Linked DNA regions of Callithrix jacchus. The protein of the gene in region 4 purifies or fractionates together with the protein of the main gene of each other region. This does not show direct contact. Links are inferred from orthologs where the notes say so. Each region holds a gene or a part of one and is shown on either strand. Other genes may lie near its edges.

Evidence for each region. Proteins that work in one complex are often made in the same cells at the same time.
Region 1: the proteins of COPG2 (region 4) and COPB1 purify together in Homo sapiens (affinity purification with western blotting; 4 studies listed by BioGRID and IntAct, with this or other methods). This does not show direct contact. The link is inferred for Callithrix jacchus from reciprocal best matches to the Homo sapiens genes COPG2 and COPB1.
Region 2: the proteins of COPG2 (region 4) and COPZ1 fractionate together in Homo sapiens (co-fractionation; 5 studies listed by BioGRID and IntAct, with this or other methods). This does not show direct contact. The link is inferred for Callithrix jacchus from reciprocal best matches to the Homo sapiens genes COPG2 and COPZ1.
Region 3: the proteins of COPG2 (region 4) and NUDCD1 purify together in Homo sapiens (co-immunoprecipitation; 3 studies listed by BioGRID and IntAct, with this or other methods). This does not show direct contact. The link is inferred for Callithrix jacchus from reciprocal best matches to the Homo sapiens genes COPG2 and NUDCD1.
Region 5: the proteins of COPG2 (region 4) and COPB2 fractionate together in Homo sapiens (co-fractionation; 4 studies listed by BioGRID and IntAct, with this or other methods). This does not show direct contact. The link is inferred for Callithrix jacchus from reciprocal best matches to the Homo sapiens genes COPG2 and COPB2.
Region 6: the proteins of COPG2 (region 4) and COPA fractionate together in Homo sapiens (co-fractionation; 4 studies listed by BioGRID and IntAct, with this or other methods). This does not show direct contact. The link is inferred for Callithrix jacchus from reciprocal best matches to the Homo sapiens genes COPG2 and COPA.

Annotation. Positions count from the first base shown.
Region 1 is NC_133511.1:80,328,740-80,332,239, forward strand, and holds part of COPB1 (coatomer subunit beta), read right to left. Parts: intron 3,467-3,500; coding exon 3,322-3,466; intron 2,610-3,321; coding exon 2,490-2,609; intron 1-2,489. UniProt on the Homo sapiens protein: The coatomer is a cytosolic protein complex that binds to dilysine motifs and reversibly associates with Golgi non-clathrin-coated vesicles, which further mediate biosynthetic protein transport from the ER, via the Golgi up to the trans Golgi network.
Region 2 is NC_133510.1:65,209,546-65,213,045, forward strand, and holds part of COPZ1 (coatomer subunit zeta-1), read right to left. Parts: intron 2,931-3,500; coding exon 2,862-2,930; intron 944-2,861; coding exon 862-943; intron 1-861. UniProt on the Homo sapiens protein: The coatomer is a cytosolic protein complex that binds to dilysine motifs and reversibly associates with Golgi non-clathrin-coated vesicles, which further mediate biosynthetic protein transport from the ER, via the Golgi up to the trans Golgi network.
Region 3 is NC_133517.1:87,735,612-87,739,111, reverse strand, and holds part of NUDCD1 (nudC domain-containing protein 1), read right to left. Parts: intron 641-3,500; coding exon 460-640; intron 1-459.
Region 4 is NC_133512.1:116,571,333-116,575,272, reverse strand, and holds the start of COPG2 (coatomer subunit gamma-2), read right to left. Parts: upstream 2,801-3,940; 5' UTR 2,747-2,800; coding exon 2,710-2,746; intron 2,529-2,709; exon of another isoform or gene 2,336-2,528; intron 1,664-2,335; coding exon 1,611-1,663; intron 1,068-1,610; coding exon 987-1,067; intron 1-986. Other genes in the region: TSGA13 (testis-specific gene 13 protein), read right to left, coding at 3,096-3,265. UniProt on the Homo sapiens protein: The coatomer is a cytosolic protein complex that binds to dilysine motifs and reversibly associates with Golgi non-clathrin-coated vesicles, which further mediate biosynthetic protein transport from the ER, via the Golgi up to the trans Golgi network.
Region 5 is NC_133518.1:45,030,737-45,034,236, reverse strand, and holds part of COPB2 (coatomer subunit beta'), read right to left. Parts: coding exon 3,370-3,500; intron 2,523-3,369; coding exon 2,423-2,522; intron 1,774-2,422; coding exon 1,631-1,773; intron 1,082-1,630; coding exon 882-1,081; intron 1-881. UniProt on the Homo sapiens protein: The coatomer is a cytosolic protein complex that binds to dilysine motifs and reversibly associates with Golgi non-clathrin-coated vesicles, which further mediate biosynthetic protein transport from the ER, via the Golgi up to the trans Golgi network.
Region 6 is NC_133519.1:20,256,403-20,259,902, forward strand, and holds part of COPA (coatomer subunit alpha), read right to left. Parts: intron 2,310-3,500; coding exon 2,234-2,309; intron 423-2,233; coding exon 340-422; intron 1-339. UniProt on the Homo sapiens protein: The coatomer is a cytosolic protein complex that binds to dilysine motifs and reversibly associates with Golgi non-clathrin-coated vesicles, which further mediate biosynthetic protein transport from the ER, via the Golgi up to the trans Golgi network.

The DNA.
Region 1 (3,500 bases), on a different chromosome or scaffold from region 4:
ACTTTTAACTTTCCTGAGAAAATATCTGATTTAAACTCTTATTAAAAAAAAAAAAAAAAAAAAAAAAAAGAAGAAGATTAATACTTTCTGCCATCTGTGATCCTTGCTTTGGTCCAGGACCCCATTCCAATCATTATCTCTTTCATTTTTACATCTTTACCTTCCCATTCTCTACCAACTTTCTTCCCTTATAGTCTACAAATATACTCAAGCTTGTCCTTATCTTCAAAAAATAAATCCTCACCCATTCTTGCCTTCTCTTCTTGGTACTACCCTTTTCTATTCCTAATTAAAGCTAAATTTCTGGCCGGGTGTGGTGGCTCAAGCCTGTAATCCCAGCACTTCGGGAGGCCGAGGCGGGTGGAAGACGAGATCAAGAGATCGAGACCATCCTGGTCAACATGGTGAAACCCCATCTCTACAAAAAATACAAAAATTAGCTGGGCATGGTGGCGTGTGCCTGTAATCCCAGCTACTCAGGAGGCTGAGGCAGGAGAATTGTCTGAACCCAGGAGGCGGAGGTTGCAGTGAGCCGAGATCGTGCCATTGCACTCCAGCCTGGGTAACAAGAGTGAAACTCCATCTCAATAAAAAAAAGCCAAGTTCCTACACTCAGAATAGTCTACACTACCTTTATTTCTTCATCTCCTATTTAGTCTTCGACCTACCACCAATGCTCAAGATGTCCCACAATAAACGTTTTAAAATCCCTAATAGCCAAATCCAAAAGACCTCTCTTTCAGACTTTATTAACTAGTTATTTGATCCTGTGCAGCTTCAAATACTTCCTGAAGGTTTTTCCTTACTTTTCTAACCATACTTCAGATATCTTTGTAGGCTCTTTCTCCTCTGACCAAGCTTTCAGTACTGCTGTTTGCTTGGATTCTGTTTTCAGATCTCCCCTCTTTTTAGTCTTTATGCCCTCTGTGGGTGATTTCTTCTATTCCTGTGGCTTTTAAACAATGAGACAGAGCCTTGCTCTGTCATCCAGGCTGGAGTGCAATGATGCGATCTCAGCTCGCTGCAACCTCTGCCTCCCGGTTCAAGCTATTCACCTGCCTCAGCCTCCCAAGTAGCTGGGACTACAGGTGTGCACCACCATGCCCAACTAATTTTATATTTTTAGTAGAGACAGGGTTTTGCCATGTTGGCCAGGCTGATCTCGAACTCCTGACCTCAGGTAATCCCCCCCCCCGGTCTCCCAAAGTGCTGAGATTACAGATGTGAGTAACCGCGCCTGGTCTGTCTCTCATTTAGACCTCTTCTTTGAGTCCCAGACTCACATCAAACTGCCCTTGAATACTGAACCTGCTCAAAATTTAACCTATTATGTCTTTCTAAAGTTTGTTCTTCTCTCCTGTATAACCTGTTTTGGTAATGACATAAACAACCCAAAAAACTCAATCTGGAAATCTGAGGGTTACTCCAGCCACTTGTTCCACCACTAACCATACCCTTAACAAAATATTCATCCTTCTCTCCATTCCACTACTGGGTTGGCTCAAGTCCTCTTGCATCTCTCACTTGGGCTTCTGTAATAGTCTACTAGTTAATATTCCTGCCTCTTCCAATCAATCTTCTATAGTACTGTCATAGAAAGATATAATGTTATAAGCCACTCATTTATAATTGGCTCAATGATAAAGTCTGAAATCCTTAGCATGACAAATAAAATAGGAAGGTTAGTTATCCTGCTAACCTTCCTAACTTCATTTTTTTCTTGCCACCATTCTCCAACCCATTCTAAACTCCAAGTATATCGAATCACTTGCATTTGTTCTAATTGCATCATCGTCTATGTGTAGTGTTCTACTGAGCACTAGCTCCTCCAAGAAATCTTTTTCTAACCTTTTTCCCCAATCCCCAACACTCTGACAATTGACCAAATCCCTTTACAGATTCCTACCTTACTTAGTACAGGCTTTTTTTTTTCATAGCACTTACCATTACTTATTGCACGTATCTATTTTATATATCAGCTTTCCCTTACACGAACACAATCTATCATTTTTTCCTCACCATGGCAGCCCTATCCTTATGACAGAAATTGCAACAAAATAAGCTTATTGACTGAATGACTCTATACAAGCTAATCCCTAGGTCGGAAATGCCCTTGTGCGCCTAGTAACAAATGACTCAGGTAAAATATTACCCTTTGATAACATAGCATCTTCCTTTAGAAAGCCTTCCATGCTGTTAGCATTGTTTTTTCTTCACCTCAAAGCATACAGTATATAAACCATCCTGTATCACATTGGACTATAATTATATATTTCCTTACCCATCTCCTTTTGCCTGACAGTTTCTTGAGGACAGTGACCCTAACTGGTTCATTTTTGTACATCCAGAACATACTACAATGCCTGGTACCATAGAGAGTGCCTCATAAATTAAGAATAAATGTCCTCATACAACGTCCCCAGCTAGTCACTATAGAAATTCTTTAGTAAAAATATTCACACATTACATGCCATGAAACAGCACCTTACCTATATTACCAAAAATTATTCCATTTTCTGTTGATGCTACTTTGACATTAGCTTTAATATTTGCGAAATCATGAGGAGCAAGAGTCAAAGGAGATGGCTTTTCCACAAGTTTCAGATCCCCTAAAAGAAAGAGTTTGGATACGGTTAAAATATATATACATATATCACATTTAGCAACATGAGATGTATTTTTTTTCTACACACACACACCCATAAAACCTTAAAATGTATGTAGCTTAACAGTTTCTTGTTTTCCCCTTGATATCTTGAAGTTCCTTAACTCTTGCATAAGCCATATGAAATTTGATGGGGGCACTGCACTGTTCTCACATACAATTTACATTTTCCAACTTCAAAACCAGATGTGGAAGTGAGCAGTCTGATTCACATGCCTTTATTAAGAAAAAAAAAATACATCTCATGTTGCTAAATGTGATATGATTTATTACTTTGGTCACATGTGGTATCTAACAGTTATGCATTCAGAAAATACTTAGTTTTGTAATGAGGCAATCAGAAATTTAAGTGAGCCACCTGCTCAATCTGTGACTTAAATAGCTCTAATTATGTCTAGAAAGACTGACATTCGCTAGTTTAAGCTTATTAAATGAATCCATCTGAATGTGCCAAGAGCATAAGAAAGTCAGTATGACAGAGGTTCAAAAAACTGGAGTTGAAGGAAACTAAATGGTAATGAAAAACTAAGCCTTGGTTCAAAATGTCAATAAAGGTTCAAGAAAGAATTTTTATACTGAAACCTGTGCACCTCCCCTAATCTGTCATAAAGATGTACTATGTGACAACATCTTTCCTCAATGGTAAATTTCCTCACCTAGTGTAGCTAATTCTAATGTGCAATTCTGCAAAGTATCACTGGTTTGGTTCACAACAAGTACATCCAGGACAATATCATATTGGTTGACATGAACGTAAGCTTCTGCATATACAGGATCTGAGAAACCTGTCAACTGGGTGACCTGTCAAAACAAAAATAAAGACATAATCAAATGA
Region 2 (3,500 bases), on a different chromosome or scaffold from region 4:
AGCCAGGCGTGGTGGCACATGCCTGTAATCCCAACACTTTGGGAGGTTGAGGTGGGCAGATCACCTGAGGTCAGGAGTTCAAGACCAGCCTGGGCAATATGATGAAACCCCATCTCTATTAAAAACACAAAAATTAGCCAGCATGGTGACATGCACCTGTAATCCCTGCTACTTGAGAGGCTGACATGGGAGAATCGACTGAACTTGGGAGGCAGAGGTTGCAGTGAGCCACTGCACTCCAGTCTGGGTGAGAGAGAGAGAGACAGACTCCGTCTCAAAAAAAAAAAAGAGTTCCCATGAATGCCTAGTATCCAGCTGTTTTGGGCTAAGGTGAGGCTGACTGTAATCGACTATAATGACCTCCAAAGATAGATGATCTGCACTTTTTGGGTGATGGCAGGAGAAGAGAAGTATAAACTTGGGGGAGTCTAATGTATCTTCTCTAACCATCATCCTCTGCTCCTGCCCACTATACCTATTTCCCTCCTTGTTGTATGTGAGACAGGATACCAGTCGATCCTTCGGAGGTGAAAATGCAGAGCGGTCACCTTTACAGACTTCCATTTACCTGCCCTAATGGATGCGGTACAATAAGCAGAGCTGCAGTTAAATTTGTCAAGTGAGGCTCATAAATCCAGGAACTAGACAGGTAGCTAACAGCCAACCTTCCAGCACGGTATTCCCGCGTGAGGTACACTCACCTCCCCATTACATTTCTGAAGAGTTTATTATACAAGGGGAGGAAGAAAAAAAAGGAAAAGGAGGCAGAGTCATTTCATCCTTTCTCTGCAGCCCTGCTACCACCCGCTTCCCACCATGGTTCCCCCCAACATGAGGAGTAGTGAAAGGAAAATGACCTACTGTCAGTCCGATGGGTCTTGTTGAAAATGTTCTTCTCAAAGGCCTTTTGCTCCTTGACACTGGGGTAGGTGTCGTCATAGTACTGGTCAGAGGGAAAGGAGACAGGGTTGGGTCACTAGAGCTGGAAGCTCAGAATGATTAGTGACTATATTTTGCCCTGGGATCTTGGATTTCTCTCTTTCAAGGCATGGGGCAAGGGAGAAATACTGACATGGAAAAGGAAGGACTATAGAGGCAGAGAATGGGTAGTGAGTAATCTAAGAAAATACATAAAAGACCCTGCCATAAGCAACCCTCCTCACATGTTTAAGACTGTCTGAGGGCAGAAGCCTACCAGCCCTACGGTGAGGCTCTGTGCCTGTGTGCAGTCTAGAGCTCTCCTAAGGGTATTCTCATCAAGTGTTTCCCAGGAGCTACTGCATGGCAGGGAGCAGTGCCAGAGAACACAAAAAACACCAGAAGCACAGAACACTTCCTTAGACCCTCACTCACTGTATGAAGCTGAGGAATGGAGAAAGGCTACAAAAACCTCCTCCAAAGAAAGGCAAACCTTGCCCTATGGTCTATCTTAGCTTTCTTTTCTGCAAGCTGAAAGAACCATCCAGCATACAACAGAGCCCATTCCCAGGCTCTCCCTGGCAAGGGGGCTGAGATCCAGGCTGCTAAATTGCTAGCTCTTTAGGGGCTAATCCGTCGCAGTCAGCTGAAGACCTATGACAGGTCTGGCATTTAGGAACTGGATAACTGTTTCAAAAGGTGTCCTGCATAGTTACATCCAATTACAGGGAGGAACAGCTGGTGAATTCTAAACTAATCTCTACCTGCTGATTGATTTATGCTATGCTTGCCCAGAGTTAATACACCAGGGACAGAAAGAATGTCTACAGGAGGGGGAGAATATGGAGGGAGAGGAGAGGGGTGTCCTTTCTTCTTCCTTCCAACAGATCCAAAGTTGGAAACATCACTCTGGGAAAGTCAGGAGGTAACAAGCTTGATGGTGACTATAGACCTAGGACTGGAACCTTGGGACTGCAAGAGAATTCTCCGGAAAAACCCAGGCAGGGTGACAAGGTAGAAGGGAAGGGGACAGGAATGATGGACATGAGCAGGCTGCCTCTTAGCATCTACATACTGCTTTGTTAGGAACCAAAGTTTCAAAGCTTTTCCCTAATTTGATGCTGACAACAATGGAGGTCAAAGTCTGAGGACAGCAAGCAGGGGAGCAGTACAACTAAGGGACAAAAGAAAACTCGGGTTTTATCTGGAGTAGGCAAGAAAGGATGGAAGAATTCAGGCCAGGCCCAGTGGCTCAAGCCTGTAATGCCAGCACTTTGAGAGGCTGAGGTGGGCAGGATGGCCTGAGGTCAGGAGTTCGAAACTACCCTGGCCAACATGGTGAAACCCTGTCTCTACTAAAAATAGAAAAATTAGATGGGCATGGTGGCAGGCACCTGTAATCTCAGCTACTCAGGAGGCTGAGGCAGGAGAATCACTTGAACCCGGGAGGCAGAGGTTGCAGTGAGCTGAAATCATGCCATTGCACTCCAGCCTGGGCAATAAGAGCAAAACTCCGTCTCAAAAAAAAAAAAAGGCGGGCACCGTGGCTCTTGCCTGTAATCCCAGCACTTTGGGAGGCTGAGGGGGGCAGACCACAAGGTCAGGAGTTTAAGACCAGCCTGACCAACATGGTGAAACCCGTCTCTACTAAAAATACCAAAAAATTAGCCGGGCATGGTGGCACTCGCCTATAATCCCAGCTACTCAGGAGGCTGAGGTGGGAGAATCGCTTGAACCTGGGAAGCAGAGGTTACAGTAAGTCAAGATGGTAATACTGCACTCCAGTCTGGGTGACAGAGCAAGACTCTGTCTCAAAAAAAAAAGAAAGAATTCTCAAAATTATACTACTGAGGTACATGAATTAATAGGGGATCAGTCCCAAGATTCAAATCTCAGAATAAGACTTTGTGCTGTTCCTAAACTAATTCGAAAGGGAATCTCACCTTGGCAAAAAGTCGATCTCCATCATTGTCCAGAATCAGGATGGCTTTGACAGTATACAGGGAAGGTTCCTGAAGAGATATGAACATACCTTCAGTCCTAAAGGCTCCCACTACCACTGGTAAACCAGATAACTTCCCCTAATCCCACTGGGGCTGCAAGGGGATACAGAGGTACCTCTGTAAGTCCCTTACCTCAACATGGTCAGATTTTGATATTTCCCATTGAGAAAGACCCAGAGTAAGTAAACTGAATTGATAGAGAAAACATTTCAACAAAGGATTCCAAAGTATCATCAGAGAAACAGTTTCTCTGCCTCATAGGGGGCTTAATCAAGAGAGGTCATGCTGTTATTTCCAAATATTATGGTACAGTTATTTTCCAAATTACCCTCTCCCTTCCTGCTCTCCCATGCACAGGTGGCTACAGAATGTGACCAGATTAATTAAAAGGCACTGAACAAGGCCATTTCAAAATAGGGTTGTATGTCCTAGTATACTTGGAAGTTTCTGCAGTCCAAATGCAGTAGCAATGCAGAAGCATAAAGCAAGCCTTCCCTAAACAACCCACACACTGAGCAGAGGGAAAAGAGCATTTACATACACACACACACACACACACACACACACGCAGAGAGGCAT
Region 3 (3,500 bases), on a different chromosome or scaffold from region 4:
AGATTTAAAAGAAATCATACTTGTAATTTAATAAAATAAACATATTAATTTCCAAGTACGTATTTATATTTACATTTAAATAATACTATAATTTATTAATTTACATTTAGTTTTAGTGTAAACTATACTATAAATTTTTGTGTATTATACATATAAATGCATATATTTTTGAATGCATTAAAAATATGCCTGTTAAATTATTCAAAACTTATATAACAATGTCTTTTTTTTTTTATACAAAAGGCATAATTGGTTGTGGAAGCACACTGCAATTTTTTTCTATTAATGATACCTGAAGAAAAATAATCTATACATATTCATTCCACCAGTGGTGGCAGGTGCCAGAATTGTAACACAATGCCTAAGAAAAAGCAAACAGCATTTATAGGGACAGCTTTGCATTTCAACATCTACTAAATAATGGCAACCAATAGAAAGAGTTTCAGAATTTTGTTTTACCTTTATTTTTGTTACTAATAGTGACCCACTCCAGAGAAACATAGAAACCACTTCCTTTCATATCCAATTCCTCTTTCTCTATTCGAAGAAGTAGGATAGCTATAGAATGTTCTTCAGCATTTAGCAATGAGATACTATGAATTATGATAAAAGGATTCCCAAGTTCTTCATTAAACATAATCTATAAAACAAAATGACACATACACAAAAGTGTACATAATTACATGAACACAGATAGCACAGAGGGAATACATAGGATTCTGGCAATCCAACAATTATTCTGGAGACTATTTATTACAAGAAATTTTTTAAAAAAAACCTTTACCTACAAACTGCAAATTTAGATAATGTTCCTTGAGGACAGAACTTTAAAGAAAATATTTATTTGTACAACAACAACAAAAAAAGCTGATCAGTAGTCTTGGCTAAAAACAGAGAAAACAGGGCATCCAAACAGCATCTAAAGGAGAAAGCAAACTAAAGGTAATCTCCTATAAGAAAGAAATTATCAAGCGAAAAAAGTTTACTACACAAAAAGAGGAGGCAAGGGCAGGTCAGTGTTCATTCCTCCAATCTGTTCTCCTGTCTCTTACATGATTTATTTCTACTTGCTTCCTCTCAGTTTCTGGATATTTTATATGAGTGTGCATGTGTGTATGCCTTTTTCCTACTGTTTTTTGTTTGTTTATTCTCTGGAAGTTTACAAAGTTAAGAGTCAAAAATATTGAAGAATAAAGCACCAAAACATTTATTTTCTCAAAAACAAAAGAAACCTATTAGCATTTAAGAATAAGTTAACAAACTCTATTTAAAATATAATCCTAAAGTGTTTTTTCAAAAGCAAAAAAGCATCACACAAAAACACACAAAATCTTATCAAATTCTTTCTTATGCCACAAACAAGATCTCAACAACTGTTATATTTTTAAGAGTAAATACAAAATAGAGAAGGTTTTAAGGCTGTTTCCTAAACAAGATTTCCAAATAAAATATGGATAGGAGACAAAAAGCCTAACTGAAAAAAAGGTAGCTCTTTAAAAAACAAAAAAAAACCCAATACCTGAAATCTCCACATATCTGCTCCTACTTGGAAATCTTACAGAGAAAAGTGTGCTTTAATGTCATCAGCTTTCCTGTACTTGAACATCTGCCAAAATCATTCAAGTAGTAGGCCTTCAGAATCCATTCTAAAGATTTCCATAAACAGAAAAAGCAAAAATTGAAAAAATATTCCTTAAATATGCAAAACAGAGATGACAGATAAAGACAGGTTTTTATTGGTTTACTGGGTTTTGCTTTTGTTTGGGAACAGTGGAAACAAAAAAAGGAAGAACAGACAATGACAAGTTTTGGCAGGTACAAGTAGCTAGTTTATTGTTTCTTTCTTTCTTTTCTTTCTTGTATGAGTGAAAGGAACTGGAAAGAAACCAAAGGAGTAGACTGCATACTTTTAAAAACTGTTAGGCTAAAGTTTCTAGTTTTCTGAACAAGCCCAGCATCTAAATTGTGATACTGTAGATACATAGCACTTCCATGGTGTTAGAGGCAACACATTTGGAAAGCAGGCTGTCTCCTGTAATTTCACTTTTTACATTTCAGTAATCACCACCACCACCTTTGGCCTCCTTTCCCCCCACCATGCTCTGTAATCTCTTCCACTTTTAGCTTCTTCTCTGTTACACCAATTCCCCTAAAGTCCTAAAGCCCTCCTGAATTTTTTTGTAAAGAGACCAATATTCCACAGTATCTCTCCTATCTAAATTAATGCCCATGTCTCCTCCCTCTCTCACAAGTACCTAGTCAAAACTATTATTAACTGAAAACATCTCTGAAGGATGCTTGTTTACTCAGAATACTCAAGAAGGCACAAGGTAGATTTAAGTTTCTAACTGATTAAAAAGATATTGAAGGCCTAATACGTGCCAAGGGGATACACAAAACAAAACCAAAAAATATAAACCCATATGAATCTCCTTCCAGTGGAATGTGTGGTATTATTAAGATGAAAGTGAGCCAGGTAGGTATGTCCTGTTCAAAATCTACAGAATCCATACAGCTCAATACCAGATAAATTCCCACTCCTCTATCTCCTGCCCATCATTCTCAAAATACCTTCCAACTGTTTCAGGTCGCTGTGCTACATACCACATTACTTCTGTTTTTCAGAAAAATAAAAGTTATTACTAGAGACCAGAACAGAAATTGGCACAGTATCCAATGAATATTTGAATCTGTGAATGCAACAGGCTCTTGAAAACAGGCTACTGCTCTTCTGGTTATTTACTGTGTATTTTGGTAGTATAACATTTAGGGAAACTTAGTAAGATAGGTAAATTTGGTAAGATACTATATACTATATTTAGCAAATATAGTAAAATACTATAATTTGGTAGTATAACATTTAGGGAAACTTAGTAAGATAGGTAAACCATTTGATTCTAAGACTTCCCTGTTTTTTTCCAAGTAATTAAAGCCTGGTCTTTGCAGGCATCTGCTGGTCAAATGAAATTATTTTATAAGATGTAAATATGTTGAGCTCATCTCTTTATTTATCCAGAACTAAAGGCTACCTGCTTAGGTTCAGACAGTAGCAATATTATAATACACTTGTTAGTGTAATTCAAAGGAGCTGAAGCAGTAAATCTTTTGATTATCTGCTTGGCATCATTTTCTTTTACTTTCAAAAACTGTAGTTCTAAAGAAAGTAATTCCTTATTTATTACTATTAAAACCTAACCTATCCATCAGATTCATATCTATTTTTTTAAATTAAAGTAAAAATGTTGTCTTGGAGATTGGCATGTAACTACATATTTATATCATGTATTTTTCTAAGTAGAGAATATTCTGGTAATTTGATCAATGTAAACATCCCAGGAAATCTAACCTAACAGTAGAGGAGAAAAACATCCTAATGTAAGCTTTTGGTCAACTCTTCTTCAACAAGGAGGAGGCAATGTCAATGCTTAGTGAAGTGCTCTACAGATATAAAATATCTGCTGAAAAATGAATGCAATTCTTGACAACTGCATTGACTCCAG
Region 4 (3,940 bases):
CATATGTAAACCACCTGAGGTATGTGGTATATATGTATGTGTTATGTGTCCATGTGTATGTGTATAGACCTATACAGTTAGCCCTCCATAACCACGGGTTCTGAATCTGTGGATTCAACCAGCCTCGGATTGAAAATATTCAAGAAAATAAAACAAACTGTGTTTCTACTGAACATGTACAGACAGTTTTTTCTTGTCATTATTTCCTAAACAGTACAGCACAAAAACTATTTACACAGCACTAACATTGTGCCAGGTATTATAATCTACAGATGACTTAAAATATATGGGAGGATATGTGGTTATATGCAAATACTACACCATTCGTATGAGGGACTTGGGCATCTATGGATTTTAGAATCCAATGCAGGTCCTGGAACCAATTCCCCACTGATACTGAGGGAACATGAATCCATGAAACAAAATCATATTTTCTAAGGCCCTAGACATTTCATGAAGTTTTTTAAAGTCTAAAACAACTTGTTTTAACTAGTACTCATTAAATTCAACCCAAAGGATTTATTGAGAATCTACTATGTGCATCACTGGTTTAGGACCTCATGAATAAGAAAGAAGTACAGGTTAAACATCCCTAATCTCAAAATCCAAAATCTGAAATGCTCCAAAATCAGAAACTTTTCAAGTCCCAATATGACACTCAGTGAAGACTCTCATTGGAGCATTCTAGATTTCAAATATTTAGATTAGGAATATTCAATGAGTATGTATTCTGCAAATATTCCAAAATCAAAAAAAATCTGGAATCCAAAACACTTCTGGTTCTAAGCATTGCAAATAAGATAGAGTCAACCAGTTTATGTCATAGTCCTCATGCTAAGTTTTACATATTTTTTAACCAAACATTGTATATGTTAAAATTAAGTGAATTTAAATAAATAATTATACTTTCCAGAAAGCATTTCTTTGCATCTTCAGCATTTCTATTCCAGGACACACTTATCTGAGGAAAATAAAAAATAATTTACCTGGTTCAGTAAGTAAAGAATCTTTGTAAGAATATGCAAACATCTTCTTGGATTGATGGGAGTTTCATTGAATATACGAGCCTATGAAAAAAACAAGAAATTTTTATTTTCCTACCTTGTCTATCATAGATTATAGCAAATCAACTTTAATAGTTTCTAATCACAGTGTCCAAATAATATTGAGTATAGTTCTCAATTTACTAAAGTATCTGATAAATTATTAAATGTGGCCTTGATTGTCCATCCTATACTTTCTAACTCATTCCATTAGGAAGACTACTTCAACTTTATGGGTTATACAAATTAAATAAGGATCACAATACTTATCTATATCATACTAACACAATGAGCTATAGATAACTGATTTCAATAACTTTGCACTAAACACCTTTTCTTACATAAAATTCCCAACCTGTGGTAAAGCCTTCATGCCTTTGCATTTCTACAAGCTCTAGACTCTTCTGTGACAAGTAACCTCTCTTCCTTTTCCCTCAAATCTGTATTCTCTAACCTCTGTTACGTTCCTTATTTTGGATATTGTGATCATAGCAGCCCAGGAATTCTCTGCCCACCACTCTAAAACAGAATAGAAAAAAAAGAGCACAAGATACTTCCCAGTCATACCTCCTGTAAAACAGCACTCTTCTCCAGATGCTGGAAAGGGTTGGAGCCACTACCTATTTATAAAACAAAACATGTTTGAATAGCAGCTGTCCTACACAAACGTATATACTTTCCAGAGAAGGGTATTGAATGCTTGGGAGGTGACCACTGGGATATCACAGTGATAATCATTGCCACTATGCATACGAACTGAATGAAATCACTTTGATCCTGGCTCTGTCACTGCCATACTTGAAGAGCAGGGACTTCTTTTGCAGCAACCCTCTCCAAAATGAGTGTCTTCTTTCCCTGCCCTCTTTTTCCATCAATGTTAAAAATGTGTCATTTCCACGACAACGAAGATTAATGAGATTGTGGTAGGGTGCTTTTGATTTCCTTAGGCACTATTTTGTGTTTCTAGCACTTGAGATGCAGAAACGAAGTTTCCCAGAGAATCATGCAGACGTAAAGCTGCAAGGGGCGGTGGAGGTTGACTAACCCAACCCTGTCTCACACTATGGGAGTTGCTACCAAATATTGAGAATTTTTTCTTTTTGAGGATGCTTGGCATCTCCCTCATTTGCTCTGTACCAAAGATGGGTATCAAGACGCAGGTCACTTATGGACGCCTGAGATTCATCAAGCTGTGTCCCACGGGACAGTCTCGCCCCCTGGGAACCGGACAGAGCCAGGGGCCCCAGGAAAACTATAAGGTAGCAGGAACCTGAATGTTCCTCCACACACACCCTATGCCGTCGACCCCAGCCCCGGGAACAGGGTTCTCCCACTCGGGGTCAGACCCTACCGCACCCCTTGCCGCGGAGACGCGCGCAGGGGCGGAGGCGGGTCCGAGGGGGCTGCGCCGCGGGAGGGGCGGGGTCGGGGCGCGCGCGGGCGCCGGGGCGAGAGCGCGCGGCCGGAAAGAAGGCTCTGGCGCCCGGGGGAGGGGCTACGGGCAGGCCCCGGGCGGCCGCGAGGGGAGGGGAGGGGCTGGCTCCAGCTCCGGCCCCCTGGCACAGCCCACGCCCCCAGCCCCGCCGGCCCGAAAGCAGGTGGTGGCGGGCGGGCGGGGGATGGGGCGCCCGCGACTGAGGGTAGGCCTCGGAAGCCCCGCGCGTACCAGACTCCTCGTCCTTCTTGTCGAATTTTTTAATCATCTTGGACGACTTCCCAGCGCCCAGACCCACCGCAACCGTCCCAGGCACCGCAGCGGGCGAGCGGAAGAGGCTGCAGGAAGGCCGGCCCCGCGCTCTCACGCCGGTTGGGCCGCCGCGCCGTCACTCGGGGCCAAGGCCCGCCCTCCCCTGCCGCCCTCGGCTCCCTCGGGACGCAGCCACCCCCTCTCCTCCATGCACGGCCTGGCCAAGGCTTCGGCGCGATCCGCCTGGCCAACGACCCGGGAGCCCACGCCGGCGGCAGCAGGAATGTGGTTTTATTTCATTGGCGACTTTCATGCGGACCCTTCAGTCTCAGAAGAGCGAGGCGGGAGGCCTGAGGGGTCTGTGTTCACCCGGTGACCGTGGCCTTTTTGATCATGCACAGCGGAGCCCTCCCGTTGCGGAAGGCGCCCTCCCCGGGCGCGGTTCTGGTGGGCATCTCTTCCAGGAGCGATGCGAGTGTCAGTGGTTCCCGAATCGCCTTGGAAATCAGCCTTTCACTCGCTAACTTCTTGGAAGCTACGACAAAGCACAGGCACTCTGGTGAATGTGGCTTTTCAAAAGTACTCGAAGGATGCTTAGTGTGAGACGTGAAGGAGACCACTTGGAGGGACCAGAGGCTGGTCTTTAAAAGAGGGTAGATTTTGGACTGTGGACTACCACTCCCTACCTACTTTATGATTTTGGATTCCTTCATTTTATCAAAATCCATTGTAAAACACACTGCCAGTTTAGAGCCCTTGTTCAATCCTGCTTCTTTCAATGATTCCATCTGAAACCATATTGACACTTAAGATTAACTCTTGCTGAGTTAGCGTGCATTCATTTGTAATTCATGTTCCTCTTTTTCTCAGAGTGTATCCGGCTTTCTGTTCTCTTGTCTAAGAGTGTGGCTAAGAAACTGCCTGCCTTTGGCTTCAATGGCATTACTGTTTAGAAATGTAAATTAGGTCTATATTCAACAGGTTCGTGCCCCTGCAAAATTAGAGAAATTCTAACTTAGATTACAGTCTACATCCTAGAAAAAATATTTCCCTTAAATATAGGTTTAGGATGAACTGTTGATATCCTGCATATGGTATCATTTAAGATTTAACTCTGACTTGACTAAATGTACTATTAACTATTATGTTTGCTTTATGTGGCTTATAAAGTTCAAGTCATACTTCATAGGTGGCGTTTTCCTTGAAGGAA
Region 5 (3,500 bases), on a different chromosome or scaffold from region 4:
TCAAAAAAAAAAAAAAAAAACAACACAATGCTGCATAGTCAACTAAAATTTTCCCAATGGCTTTAAAACAACTCTCTTTAAAGTTATTTATAACACTGTAAAGGCTGGTATCAAAAGACTGCCAAAGGCAAAACTTATGGCAAAGAATGTTTTACGATATTAAGGGAAATACTCCTAATGCATTCTTAACCTTCATAAGACTATTATGTTACAAATAATTATGAATACCATTTACTGAACTAGGCGGCATACTTGGTTTTATCTTTTGTCTTTTTCAATACTCAGGACAGCATTACAAGATGCCCAGATCTATTGTAAAATAATATTTAAAGCTCCACAGGTTTAGACTTAACTGTGCTAGAAACTCTTCTCTCACCAGATGTTTGGTGACTTACAAATCTTAAGGGAGAAGTTCAACTAACAGTTCAAATTACACATAAGAAACAGAATTATTACCAATCGCAAAACTTTTTCAAAAGACACACATCTCAGAGTCAGGTTTTCTTCTTAAGAGCAGTAAGTCAGCAAGCATTTAGAGAGGGCACCTACCAAGTCTCAGCATAAGACATACTCCTTGCCCTCAAAGGAGCACACAAGAACACAAACTCAATGCATGTGAAATAACAGTAAATAGTACTATTTAACTATTCAAAATTGTGTGGTATAGAACAAGGCCAGGAGGGCAAACATGCTCTATCTTTCATGCCAACTTGTTCGACTAGCATGGCTACCTATAGCTGTGCTGAGAATTGTGGGGCCAGGGCAAAAGCACACAGAGGAATGATCAGAGATGCCAACCACAAGTTAAGAGTGGACTGTGGATCTGCAAACCTGTTCTAACATACACAGAAGCTGAGAGACAAATTTTGGTGATGGCTTACCGCCCATTAGGATTGTGCTGAATAGTCTGAGGGTATATTTCACAACTGCCCATATCCTTTACTGCCAGTGGCAATCTTTCTCCATCTTTAATTTCAGCATCTCCCATTGCCTTTAGGTTGGCCTGCTGGACTTCTGAATGCTTGGCCCAAATTATCTTTCCATTGGCATCCATGGACATTGCAGGTTCCTCCCGACCAAGCTGAAAGAAAGACAAATAGCTCTCAGCAATGAAAAGGAAAATGAAGCCAGGCACAGTGGTTCACGCCTGTAATCACAGCACTTTCGGAGGCCAAGACGGGAGGATCACGAGGTCAAGAGATCAAGACCATCCTGGCCAACACGGTGAAACCCCATCTCTACTAAAATTACAAAAATTAGCTGGGTGTAGTAGTCCCCAGCAACTTGGGAGGCTGAGGCAGGAGAATCGCTTGAACCGAGGAGGCAGAGTCTGCAACAAGCCAAGATTGCACCACTGCACTCCAGCCTAGTGACAGAGCAAGACCCTGTCTCAAAAAAAAAAAAAAAAAGAAAAGAAAAATGAATAAAACCATAATAAAACAGATTATTTTTCACCTCACAGAGAGCTCTATTTCCTTTCTTCCACTTTAAATCTTCATTGCTTAATGTCTAGTGCTTAATCAAAGAAGTGCCAGTTTTACAAAACTGGTGAATTGGAAGATGACAATATTAAAATACAAAGAAAATGTCTTTGCCTATGCCCACCTACTGAGAGGGATAGTTTAATTACCTTAACAATGATGCTCCCTTCATCATAGCCCAAAGCGACATTGTTGGACCCTCTTAGACTGGCCACGCACCATACCCTCTCCATTCCATAATTCAGTGTGCTCTCTAGCCGGTAGGTGCTTGAATGCCAAATACGTACTGTTCCTAAAAAGAACAATGTAAATATTCCCTTTTGATACAAACATCTGACAATAAACTGTGTCAGGTAAGACACCCATGGAAGTCTTTCTATTCAAAAAGATAACACTTCCCGGCAGTTTAACGACCAATTTTTTGATCTCCTGTCTTTAAATGATTTTAAAAAGCAACATAAACTAACAACAGACAACATATAAGAAACAAAACCTAAGACTTACAATTTTAAACATGAAATAATAACCGGATTTTCTGGGTAGAGTATTTCCTATGTGCCAGATGCTTTCTACACATGATTTCTTCTCACTATAATCCTATGAAGTGGATATATGTGTTTCCATTTCATAATTTGCCCAAACCACACATTCATGAAGTAACAGCCTGACAGGTTTGTTTGACTCCAAAGCACATGCTTTTTCAATTTTTCTCTAGGACATCTGATGGTCCTCTTATTTAAGTGACAAAATCAAAATACATGAGAATGGTAATAATGATGCTAATGAAAATAATGTCCCTTTACTCTTTTGTTTATAGCTTAAGTCTAGTACTTCAATCAAAATCCTTGGAAATCTCCAATTACAATGCAGAGACATTACTTGCTTTAAATGCCCACTCAGTAGTTAGCAACACAGGGAATAAACATACCCTTCTAACTTACCATCTTCTGAACCTGTAATAATAATTGGCAACTCAGGATGAAAGCTGGCACAAGACACATTTTGGGCATGTCCTTCCAATGTCTGCACACATGTTTTATTCTGTAATTAAGAAATAGAAAACATTTATTAGTGAAAACCATGTAACCAGACCAACCTTAAATTTCTCAATGTGTAGATACATTATAAATGATGGTAATTAGTTATGACAATCTAAATAATATCCAATACAGATATTTTTGAAATAGGATGATCTTGTTTTACATATATTTTATCTAATTATTTTATAAAATAAATGTAAATATAACTATCATATTTAAATAGGGGGGAAAAAACCAAGCAGGCTTTCATCTGAATATTATTCCCCCAAATTCTCAGGATAATGGATTTTCCCCTTAAAACTCACACCAACTATCACTGGCTAATTAGACTGTACTGCTTTAGCATTTAATATTTTTATTCTGAATAAGTACAAATTTGAAAATATTTCAAGGTAAAACTGACTTTCTAGGCCTCATTTTATTAATTGCTTATGAGAACTTTTGTTGTGAAAAAAATATCAAAATATAAGAAAATCTTAGGGATAGGAAGCATGTTAAGAGTTATAACTAGGTTTACAAGAGTTCTATGTGGCAAAATGATTGGTATTTGTTGATCTGCTGGCTTACAAATAAGAATGAAGATTATGGAGGAAAATTCAACATTAAAATGTTAAAATTTCTAAATGCTGTTATGAAATGAAATATGAACATGCTGATATTTTATTTTTAAAATCTTGATATGCATTGTTTTCATTTTTATGGAGAAATCTGGGAACATAGTTTAGGTGCAAATACTGATACTTTAAGTTATTATGCTGTGAACAGATTTCAACAACCCAAGTCTTAACTGTCCTATAAGAAGTAGTAAGAGACATATCTAACATATAGGAGGTTATGAAAAATTGTACCTGATAATCCCATATTTTAACAAGACGGTCATCTGCACCTGAAATGAGGTATGGTTTGTCCCCACCACTGTAGTAATCAATGCAATTGACGCCTTTCTCATGTCCTTCCAGAGTGAAGTTTGGTGACGAAG
Region 6 (3,500 bases), on a different chromosome or scaffold from region 4:
TTTCAAGTAACAATGGAGGCAGCAGAACAAGGAGGGAGATCTCCTCATCCAGCCCACTCACTTCAGATTTGATGCATTCTGGGCTCCTATAGGCAAGAGTGACTTTAGCTTCATTCTTAAACCCAGAGCCACAGCGATCATCAACACAATCAAATCAGTTTTAATCCCTTTCCCCCAAGAGGGCTTAGTGTATGTAGGGCTAGAGACAAAAGTATAGCCAATGCATGAGAATCATGGCTGCCTAGGGGAGAGCAGAAAAAACAGTGGTCTTTATTCTGCAATACACAGGCCATTGCCACCACACCCTCAAATTAGTTTCTGCTTTTAGTCTTAACTCACCGAATGCATCCGATCTAGGACAGCAAATCGATTTCGAGCGACCCAAACGGCTGTCAGGCCTGAGGATCGTTTCCCTTCAGGGGCTGAGAAGAACAAAACCAAAGGGTGGGAGCATGTGGTGAGTCACTGGCAGGTGACATAGTCGGATGCCACGGAGCTGCCAGTCTTGCTGGATGCCATCTTGGCTTTGCCAGTTGAGCTCCTTCCTAACGAATTCAGCCATAACCTGGGGCTATTGTTGAGTGACTTTTCCCCACCAGTCCCCTCCAAACAACCACCACTTCTGCCAAGGCTCTTTTCTCTAGGCCAAGTGGCTGCATTTCAGCCAACATCATGTACTGGCAGAAGGGCCGCCCATCTTGGGAGACAGCACGCTACATCAAGCTAACGAGCAGAGCCTCCCTGGCCAAGCTGCGGCAAAGCGAGCCTGTGTCATAGGACCCCCTCCCCAGGATGCAGCTGCTCGGCTGCTTTTAACATGCAAATGTAGACTTCCTAGTAGGGCAGGGTGGGGCAGAGCACTCCCAACTCAATCTTGACAAGAGAGCTTGGTGCTGGGCAGTATTTAGAACAAAGCTGTTGCTCTGTAAATGTCAACTGAACATTCTTATCACCCTGAAGAGAGTTACAAAATGTTCCTCAGTTCAGTGGCTTATTAGAATTTTGAAATGGACACTCCATTATCTGGGAAACTTGTAGAAGGATAAATAGAAGGGTGCATCAAAATACTCATTTACGTATGACACCAGCAGAAGACTGGACAAAACATACTGGCCAGTCTCGCCCCTGGCATCTGGAATGGTAGGCAATTTACAAAACTAATTATTATCAAAGCCAACACTCCCATTTTCCAGGGGCCAGGAAACTGCAACATTCAAGCCCATCTCTGTTGCCCACCTTTCTCAAAAAATGAAGTACAGAAAATAAAAGTGGTAATAAAACAAAATATTTTAAATTCTATTAATTGTAAACATAGATGGGGAAAAAAAGCAAAGGGCTGAGTTGAGAGGTACCAAATCATAAGATTTAGTCAGAAATGGCTTAACTGACTTATAAGGAAGAATTTGACTTATAAATACCAAATACAAATATGTTTTCTTTCTCTCACTATTAACACATTTAAAAGAGAGGAAATCGATTAGCAACAATGATAACCCAGAGGCACCCACAAAAGAAAAAGAGCTAACAAATTATTTCTCAGGAATCTGCTGATGGCATCTAAACTATGAAAGTATGCTGGTAAGAGTAAGGATCTGCAGAATAAATCTTTGACCTGGTACTAGCCATAAACCTGCTGGAGGAAGTGCACGGAAAGGCGCCTAGACAATAATCAAATCCATTCCGAGAATGTTTTGTCAGCAAGTTCTAGTCACAAGGACAGCAACAAGGGATGGTGGTGATGGAAGAGGCAGGCAGGAGTCTCAGCTGGATCCTGGGATCCCAGGTGGGGTGTGGGGCTGTTAGCAGCCTCATCTTTTTGACATGCAAAAGGAAGCAGATCGAATCTGGATATGGATGGGGGAGTATAAATCCCTAGTCCCTGGGTGAGACATTGTAAGATTGGAACCACATTTTTAAATAAATGAAACTACCAGGGTGAAAGTCATATCAACTGACAATAAACTAGGATAACATGCTGTGCTGAAAGAGAAAATGGAGAGTTTCTAATAACCAAATTATAAAATATATATATCTAGCTGGGGTAATAAAATGGTGGAGGAACATGAATATTTCACACCATGGTCGCCTCTGATGCAATTGTCAGCAGCACCTGCCAACAGACATGAGTGATGTGGCCATGGCTTGGGGATGGAATGTGAAAAACTTGAAGAGGAGAGATGATGTGGGTGAAGAGAGCTGGAAGCAGAGTGGGGTAGACAAAAAGAATACCTACCATCAGGATTCTGGGAGTCAGCATCCTTAGGGATGGTGTACAGGTCATAGGTACTATTCTCCAAATTGCTGGCTCTCTGTAGAGGAAAAGGGGAAATTAAAATGTTAGTGAGAAGGACCCAAGACACCAGTTTTCCAGTTTACTCTGACAGAGAAAACAGACCCAATGCACAGACTGCAATCTGAAACCATACTTTTCTTACTCTTCACCCAGAGGGCATTTATTTGACTGTTTCTACATCTAAGAATTATAGGGCTCTTTGCCAAACAACTAGACACTGATGTCACTTTATTTTCTTTTTCTTCCAAAGATGCAGGTATTATTTGAATGAAAGTAAGAATTGCTCTCTAATCCATAAATAAACAGTCTAGGACCCTGATATTCTGGCGCCCCACCCTGAGTACCCATCAACTGAGTACTCAACTGCTGGAAAGAAAAAAAAAGACATCAAAGAAAAGACACTATAGGAATACAACTATTTATTGGAAAAAGAAGAAAAAGAAAAAACCAGAGAAAACTGTCAGAATATGGACTGCTAAGTATTAAAGAAGAACAGATTGGATAATATAGTTATATGAGGAAAGACATACAACTTCAATCCTTTTAACTTGGCCACCAGGGTACTAAAATTAGAATGTCATTTCCTTTTTTTTCCCCCAAATTCTGTTACAAGAAACAGAGAGGACTCTTTGATGATGAAACGAACTCCTTCTCAAAATCACAGTTCTTCTATTTTCTGTTTTTTTTTTGAGACGGAGTTTCGCTCTTGCTACCCAGGCTGGAGTGCAGTGGCACAATCTCGGCTCACCACAACCTCCACCTCCTGAGTTCAGGCAATTCTCTTGCCTCAGCCTCCTGAGTAGCTGGGATTACAGGCATGTGCCACCACGCCCAGCTAATTTTTTGTATTTTTAGTAGAGACGGGGTTTCACCATGTTGACCAGGATGGTCTCAATCTCTTGACCTCGTGATCCACCCGCCTCGGCCTCCGAAAGTGCTGGGATTACAGGCTTGAGCCACCGCGCCCTGGCCAAGTTCTTCTATTTTCACTCAGAGGAAGGGATCAAGGTAACCATTTTCTTTCCATAGGATGTAAAGAGTCTAAACATTCTCTCAAATTATTTCTAGTGATCTGGGTCCTGATGCTCCATTCATCCTGATGCTCCATTAAGTTCAGCTTCATGAAAGATAGGCAGTTCACAAATGCTCAATGTTTATGACAACTGAAACCTACCTGATTTGAGTCTCTAAGTGATCACTGTGTCAG